2 linked regions of the Bombyx mori genome follow. The protein of the gene in region 1 purifies or fractionates together with the protein of each later gene. This does not show direct contact. Links are inferred from orthologs where the notes say so. Each region holds a gene or a part of one and is shown on either strand. Other genes may lie near its edges.

What was found.
Region 2: the proteins of ER membrane protein complex subunit 1 (region 1) and transmembrane emp24 domain-containing protein 2 purify together in Homo sapiens (affinity purification with mass spectrometry; 3 studies listed by BioGRID and IntAct, with this or other methods). This does not show direct contact. The link is inferred for Bombyx mori from reciprocal best matches to the Homo sapiens genes EMC1 and TMED2.

Annotation. Positions count from the first base shown.
Region 1 is NC_085112.1:13,915,054-13,919,540, reverse strand, and holds the start of ER membrane protein complex subunit 1, read right to left. Parts: upstream 3,093-4,487; 5' UTR 3,048-3,092; coding exon 2,905-3,047; intron 2,821-2,904; coding exon 2,705-2,820; intron 1,904-2,704; coding exon 1,772-1,903; intron 1,277-1,771; coding exon 1,078-1,276; intron 624-1,077; coding exon 299-623; intron 36-298; coding exon 1-35. UniProt on the Homo sapiens protein: Part of the endoplasmic reticulum membrane protein complex (EMC) that enables the energy-independent insertion into endoplasmic reticulum membranes of newly synthesized membrane proteins.
Region 2 is NC_085122.1:5,876,019-5,880,075, forward strand, and holds transmembrane emp24 domain-containing protein 2, read right to left. Parts: upstream 2,388-4,057; 5' UTR 2,245-2,387; coding exon 2,106-2,244; intron 1,803-2,105; coding exon 1,621-1,802; intron 1,196-1,620; coding exon 1,052-1,195; intron 920-1,051; coding exon 770-919; 3' UTR 649-769; downstream 1-648. UniProt on the Homo sapiens protein: Involved in vesicular protein trafficking. Mainly functions in the early secretory pathway but also in post-Golgi membranes.

The sequences.
Region 1 (4,487 bases):
CCAGAAACTAAATTGTGGGCCATTAAGGTGAAACCCTGTATATGATACAGTAAATTATTATCTCAATGCTACCAAATTTTCTAGCTGTAACATTTTTCCATTATTAGAGGCAAAAAAATACTCAAAAACGTATTTTCATTTTGTTCCAACACGTGACACGTTTTCTTGAATATGCCAAATATGCATTATATATTGACAAAAAGTGTCAGATATCATAAAGCTTTATTACCACATTACCTTCATTTAAAGATAAGGTTCCCTTAAGTCTATTAAAACGAGTAAAAGCTATTTGACTAACCTTAGCCTCATCATTCCAAGTCTGCAAAACTAATGGTCCGCTAGCGCTATCCACAAGAGCAACACTTGCAGATGGCTCACTGATAGCTATATTGATCGCTTCAAACTTATTGCCACGGATCAATATGATTTTTTCATTTAATAGAAACCCTGGTATGACTGTGTTAGTGTCGAAGGGATTCAGGTTTCCATTCCTTGCCGTTGTGTATTCTGCTAAAGGTTTGCTTATGATTTGTACAGCATCAGACGTAACATCCATGGATAAGAGCAGCTGGTTTCCGGGTGATCCCGAGATACAGGTGTAATATGGTGGAGATAAGACACAGCTATGGAATATGAAATAAATTATCGATTATTATTTGAATCTACCACTATTTATAATTAGTTTAAAAAGTTATCATAAATGAACAGACAACATTTTGGCTGGATTCTTTGCATATGTGAAGACCGAAAGCAGAGATCATAAAATCAGGCCATAGGTTCCTCTGCCCACCTTATGTTAGAGGTCAATAGAATGCATAAAGACCACAACAAAGTTTGCCCCAGTTTGATATGGATGACTGAAGTCAATACATTAGAATAAAAATACATTTTTAGCACGACTGTCTGAGTCCTCTTCATTAATTCAGCATATGATTTTTATCAATAATATGAATCATTTTTATGACAATTAATCAATTATTGATTAGAATTTGATTATATTCAGTCTATTATTATTTTTACAATTTAAAATGGTACAATCAGTACTTTAATTGGAGTTAGCAGGTTAAAAATACAAACCCCTCATTGATCCAAACAGCAGGTAGTTTCGAAGTTGCTCCTCGATTATGTCCAGTAGCTACATTGTAGACGCTGACCTCAATGTGAGAGCCAAATTTCGGCACCATATGAACAAGCAGACCATTCTGAACCCACCATTCGGAGAAATCAGTGTGCTCATTCTTCTGGAGGGTGAGGCCCCATTCCCAAATTAGTACGCCTGAAGAAAATACCCATGATTATATTTTATTATTATTAGTAATATTTCATTATGCCTTTATGGTACTATATATAATGATGAATACTAGATTACTATAAATAATGAATACAGCAATAATGTCTAGTAATAATGCAAACTGATTTTGCATAAAAATTTGGAATTTAAATCAAGTGTTTTCTTACTTGATGTATGTAACTGATTCTTTTTTTTTATGTTGCACCATATTTTTAATCATTAGTACAATTTTTTACAGCTATAGAAGGCATGCAGACATACTAACAATTAATGACTTAATTACTAGAAAACATAATATCCATATAATAATGATTGATTTGTTTCGGTCCTATAGACACAGTTTTAGAAATTGAAATACTTGTGTAGAATTAAATATAAGCAAAATAAATGATACTGATGGCCCAGTTGACACACTCATTTCCCTTTCAGTCTGCAAAAGAATCATCACCCCTAAAAAGCCAATTAAATATTTTTACGTACCAGTACTCAAGTCCCATCCCCTAACGAGATAAGGATTGGAGCCCGTCACGGTGATTATTTGATCTGATAGATGCAGCAACTGGATGTTGCCAGAAGATGTACTCTCAAACACATGCCTCCACACTACCTGCCCTGTTAAATTTTAAAATATGAGTTGAGTTTGAATATTGAATATAAATTGAGTTTATTGAGTGTATAGTTTTAACAGCCGTTAAATTTCCAATTTTATTTTTTACCAAAAAACTGCATATATACTAGTGATAAATAATTTTGTGAGCTCACTTGGATAGGTACCTCACTTATGCTAGTACAGCTTTAATGAATATGATACAAAAAGAGCACTGAGAGAATGTTATTATTTAAATTCAAAGAGGTTGGCATTTTTTTTTTTTATTCTGTAAATGATTGAGTTAGTAAAAAGACAGGGTGGTGCTATTGTAGGCCTACATTACTCAACCAGGTAACTGATAACTAAGCTCTGGTATCTCTAAATCCTACTAAACAGACTGCTACCTAATAAGATTAGTTAATCTATGATTTTCCTAAGCAATAAAAATTTAGGTGTATTTGAAACAAGACATGTGCATAATTATAGTTATTAATTAATATGTTTTAACTGTGTTGATTTTATAATGCATAATCAATAAATTTAAGTAATCAAGTTATCATAAATAGTGATAGGGACAATAAACAGTAAGATTTAAGTATGGGTTCTTATCAAAACCATAGGACATACACACTATATATACCCTAATGAATCGGTGGAGCCCTGACTATAGCAATTTTAAAACTATGACTGACTACATCATGTTTTAAGTATTCAACCATAAAATCAACGAATACTGTGAACTTATTGATGCAGATATCTATCAATACCGTGTTTTGAACTAAAAATTATTTTTTAAAAGTTTCGAATAATTAAAATCGGCGTACCTGTCTTCAGATTGAGTGCAGCTAAAACATTCTCTTCGGTCGCTACTATTATCTTCCTGGCGGTTGAAACCGTATCGAATTGGGCGAACTTTATACGCCCAACATAGCTTTGGCGCCTGAAAAGGTTAATTTTATTAGAAAAATAATCCTTGAAAACTAACGATGTCATACAAGGGGCATAACCTAAAATGCATAGTTACCAGTCAAACTTCCCGATTTGATCCTCATAAATGCACATGGATAAATTAATTAGACTAAAAAACACAATAAACCAATTTATACTGTTTAAACATTTTAATAAACCCATAAAATTAGGCTTTAGATTTATTGACAAATTCCCCATCTCCGAAAGACCAGTGTCTGACAGCGGTGATAATTGACAATCCTGACATTGACATAACGATTATAGATTGCCATAATTTTTTTAAAGATTTTATGGCCTGGTTATACTAACATTTTTCTAGAGGAACTACAAAAACTGCTATTCTAGAAGGATCAACCTTATAACTAAAAGAAAACTTTTCGTCTGGTTTATACTGTACGCAACCTGTACTGGAAACCTGAGTGATCTTTCTGTGCACATTTTAGTTGGTATGCATATTTTAGTAATTGTCTTATTATTTCTTCAAACGACTAGTTTAAATAACTTACTCAATGCAACCATTCCAAAAAGAAAAGCAAACTATCGAAGCACCTGAAATTAATTAAATATACAGATTAAGCTAATTAAACACATTAAGCATTAACGTAGAATTGTTGGTAACGTTGAATAGGTTGTAGAATTGTATTTCTATCACATCTATATCATATCTTTATTAAAGCAGATAAGATGGTGCTGCTGATTCTATCAATGTGTGAGTTAAGAAAGTTGCTGTCCATATGTGAATCCTATGCCGAGCATCATTGCCTAAAATATAACCCAAGTAAAAGTGAGCTGTTGATGTTCAGAGGTGTAAGCAAAAGACCGCCTCATGTCCCGCCTGTAATCCTCTGTGGCTAACCTGTACAAAGAGTAACCCAGTTAAAATATTTAGGGCACATTGTAACTGAGGAATTAAAAGATGGACATGGACATGGAACGTAGGGCATTGGTTGTCAAAGGGAGTGTAGTGGCCCAAATAAACCTGCTAATGTTAGTAACATTCCCTACTAAACACTTAGTGATCATGAGCGCTAACGGTATAAAATGATAATATGACTTACTAATTAGGTCAAATAATGTACTTGACTGCCCTGAAATATTCAAATTCTCTGCGTAAAGTAAAAAAAATTTTTGAAGTGAAACTTCTAATGCAACTTTTCGGTAGGCAGCGGCTTGGCTCTGCCCCTGGCATTGCTGAAGTCCATGGGCGACGGTAACCACTCACCATCAGGTGGGCCGTATGCCCGTCTGCCTACAAAGGCAATAAAAAAAAAAAAGCTTCCGTCAACGTTGCGTTAAACGCTTAACGCTACCATACTGAAAGAAAGAGAGCGAGAGTGAATGTGTGGCACTCGAACATACGCGTAGTATACCTTGTTACAGACCAGCGCGAGCGTTAGTAGCGACTCCGTCGGAGCGCCATGGTTCCTGAGGAACGTGGATCTCCACGATGACCTGGAGCTCGATTCCGTTAGTAAGTATCTACAGTCGGCATCGTTGCGCCATTTTGAGAAGGCGGCACGATATAATAACCCTCTTGTCGTGGCCGCTGGAAACTACATACCCGACCCTGTAGACCGTATGGTAAACCGTCGACGTCACCCAAAGCACGTCATTATGGATCTTCCTGATCCATTAACG
Region 2 (4,057 bases), on another chromosome or scaffold:
TGCGCCACCCACCTTGAGATATTAGTTCTAACTTCTTAGTATAGTTACAACGGCTACCCCACCCTTCAAACCGGAACGCATTACTGCTTCACGGCAGAAATAGGCGGAGTGGTGGTACCTACCCGTGTGGACTCACAAGATGTCCTAACATCAGTAAAACAGTTTTTCCTAAAATACCTAGAAAGGAACTGGATTAGGCATAATGCACAGTGTATGTAAAGTGATGATAATACTCTTTTCACCCTCTACGTCACATAAAACAAACAAACGTGTTTGTTTGTTAACTAGGGAGAATTTCTAATCTTTTTCTAGAAAGAAGTGGGAATCACCCCTTTTATTAAGATATCACACATAAAATGTGAATTGAATCACCAAAAACAAATAAATAAATGGAATTTTATTTAATAAAATGAAAAAGAATTCAAAAGCTTAAATAGAAAACACCCGCAGGAAACTTTGTACAGATGTTGTATTAAATGCTCAGCAATGATATCTAAACAAAATAAATAGTGCATTAAGTCATGCTTCTACTATTAATACATTAACAATTAGATATTTAATAAAATACTGTCTAGTAGACTCATTATTAGTAGAAAAATATATTGATTTACATGAAATATTTCTCTGGTTTTGAATTAAACAAAGAGGGAGATTTTAAATTTATTAATATTACAAAAACTTATTTCATCTCATTGGATAAACAAATAATTTAAATGTCATACAACACTTCACACACCAACACGTGTAATGTAAAATAAGTCTATTAACATTACACAACACGCTGCACTTCAAAAAACCTCTTGAGATAGTAGACTTGTCCGATAGTCATGACAAGCAGTACTGAAGCCTCAAATATAGACCACATCACCACACGTGAATTTGTACTTTCATTTATTGAACGATGGATACGATCACGCACCTGAAATTAGTATGTTCTTGAGATTTTGCATAACTTTATTAGGAATGATTTTAATGTAATAAAAAATAATACTTTCATATTTTAATCTATTTTCGGTATCATTTATCTGTAAGATAATACAAGAATATATACCTGCATATACTCTTGATCGTGTTTGATAGTTCTTAATGTAGTAGCAAGTTCTTTGATCATGTCCTCAAGTTTATTATGGTCAGCTTCATTTTCATTACCAGATTTAGTTTGTGGTTCTCCGATTTCAAGATTGAACATTACCACCTATTAACAAAATATTACAATAAAATTGTACATGCTTTACCAAATGAAACTCCTTGTTAATGTATCTGATACAATAATTTTAAGCTATGTTTAGTTTATGTTAAGTTGAATTAAAAAAGAACATCAATAAGCTATTTTAACTAAATAACTAACAAGAATATTAAAGATTCATCCATAAAGGAAGAAATAATAAAAAGGATGCAAATAATATTTTTGGATTTCACCTCTATTGATGAGGCAAGACAAGATGTTCACAATTTTTATATAGCTCACAATTTTTAAAATATTAACTGTTACATAATTTTAAGCTAATGTTGTTTGCTATTTTCAAAACAGACTTTTTGTGACAGGTTCTACTGTTACATATAAAATTACTGTACAACATCAAACTGGAAATCTTACTATTGTCTAAAGTTAATACTAACCTTGGGTGTCATGGATGACATTTTATTACTGAAGCAATAAGTATACTTCCCTGCAGTTGGAGCAGAAAATGTATAAATACCAGATGACTCCCTCTCTGCTTTATGAATGACGTTGCCATCAGGGCCTAGTATTATTACATCAATATCTAAGAAACCACCTTCTGCTATTTCAAACGATAATCCTGAAAATATCAAGATTATATTACAATTACATTAACATTATTGAATAAATTAAATAATAAAAAGATCTAATTTAATGACCAAATATATCAATTCAAGCATCCCCTTTCAGAAAATTCGGCAAGTATGGTTTTCATTCACGCATATTGTTTATCATTTCGTGTGCAAACATACAGATTTTAGGGTATGTAACATAAACAAAAACCTATTTGTTATTTCTTCTTTACATACTTGTATTTGATTTTATTGAGTGCAAATGGTGTAAGATAAAGCAAATAAAGCATATTTCAGCTGAATAGTCTTACCCAATTTGGTATCGGCTTCTACATTTTCGTAAAAGCACTCTTCGGCATGTGCATCAACTGTGACTGTGTAGCTGTACGCATTGCTAACTAGGTTTAACAAAGTTACTACCAGCCATTGTGATATTCTTAAGTACTTCATTTTAATAAATGTGAATAATCACATACAATTTTTGTTTTATTTTGGTCTTTTACGTTTGAGCGTGCGTATGCTTCAATTTTCGACCCGGGCCACGTAACATGACATTATTTTATCTGTCATTGCTGTTGTCATTTTTGACATTTGACGTATAAATCATTGCCACGAATCAAAATAAAATTTTGAATTCCTTTTTTTTAAGCGATTTTATGACCTGGTAACTAAGACCTTTAGGTCAACTCTTATTTTAATTTATGTTCTTATTTTTATGAAAAATGATAATATAAAGTGAAATTAAATGAAATGAAACGAGATGAGATGATATGGTAATGAAATATAATCTCAGTAAAATAGTGGTCATTTACTGAGATTTTTTCAATTGACTTTTTGTAGGATCTCGATAAGTTACGTTCAGCGGCTTTGTTTGCTTTTCCCACATTTGTGCACTTTCACAGATACTAAACAGTTTATAAACTACCGTTATTACACATTTAAACTTGAAGAAACGCTAAATAGACAAAATAAAAAAAATCACACAACTTCACTCCTCGCGTTCCCGCCAAAAAGTCAATTTTGTGTTCCGTAATGTAATGCAAGTAGACTTGGCTTCACCATTGTTGAGCAAGCACCTGGCAGCCGGGTGGAGTCCCACTTGGCAGAACTAGCTTGGTTACGACAGTGTATAAGTGCAAACTCAAAATAGATTTTTTTCATCGTCCTTGTTTCGCGAAACTTTCGACTGTGGATTGTGGAAGCTATGTATCGTAGCTATGACCGTCAGCAACAAATTAGATTTTACTTATGCGTTGAAAGTACACTGTTGCTTCTTACGGCTATATTCTATGTTATATATTATATATGTCGTTATATTGAATTTGTTTGTCCCCTTACATAACTAGCATAGCATGGTTTTCGGGTTTTAGTTAATATTTTGGATGTAGTTGTGATTTTTTTTCATTTACCTAATAATTATTTTTATTCCGTTTTTTCTTCGATTTTCATTTGATGTCATCTTACAATACTCATTAAACGTTATTCAAAGTTTTCAACTGCGAGTAAGGTACTCCAAAAAAATAATGCTTCGAACTATTACTAAATTTATGTAGACTAAAGGTAATAGCGATTCTGACGGTGTCTTAGGGCGATACTTAGTGTAAATCCAGCGTTACCTACCTGTCGAAACTAGCGTACTCCGCCGTAAGTATGGGAACCGGAAAGTGACTCAGTCACACTTAGTCGAAAATATTTGCAAAAATTAAATTGGAACAGCCCAGATCAGGAAATGACTTAAACATTTTATAATGAATGATTTTCTTCATAACATTAAAACAAACAGTGTAGATTTACCACTTACTTTGATAACTGATACACAAATCAAGCTCGGGAGGATCACACTTACCATTTTACAATTATTAAAATTTTCTAGTTGTATTGTGAGTTGTGACGCAGTGGCAAGAATGAGTACATATTAATGATTGTTATTGGCAGCTTCCGCCGTATTACTTTTTTTTTTCCTGCCTAAGCTGATAGCCTTGAGAGGCTATGTCAGCGGAACCTTAACTAGTAGGTGAGCTCACGGGGCTCAAACCTGACGACGTTACTAACACGAACCCTAGCAAGAGCTGTGCTTCGCAGAATCTACCACCGGATCGGAAACGCGACCCACTGAGAAGATCCGGCGAGAAACTCAGTGGGCTGTGTCTGAGGGTTAATTCACTCGTCGAGCCCTTCGTCGCAAACGACGGGTTCGACGAGAACGGTGACCGGTGCTTGAGGTACCTAAAAGCACCGTTAGTGGATCGGGAGGATCCGAAAT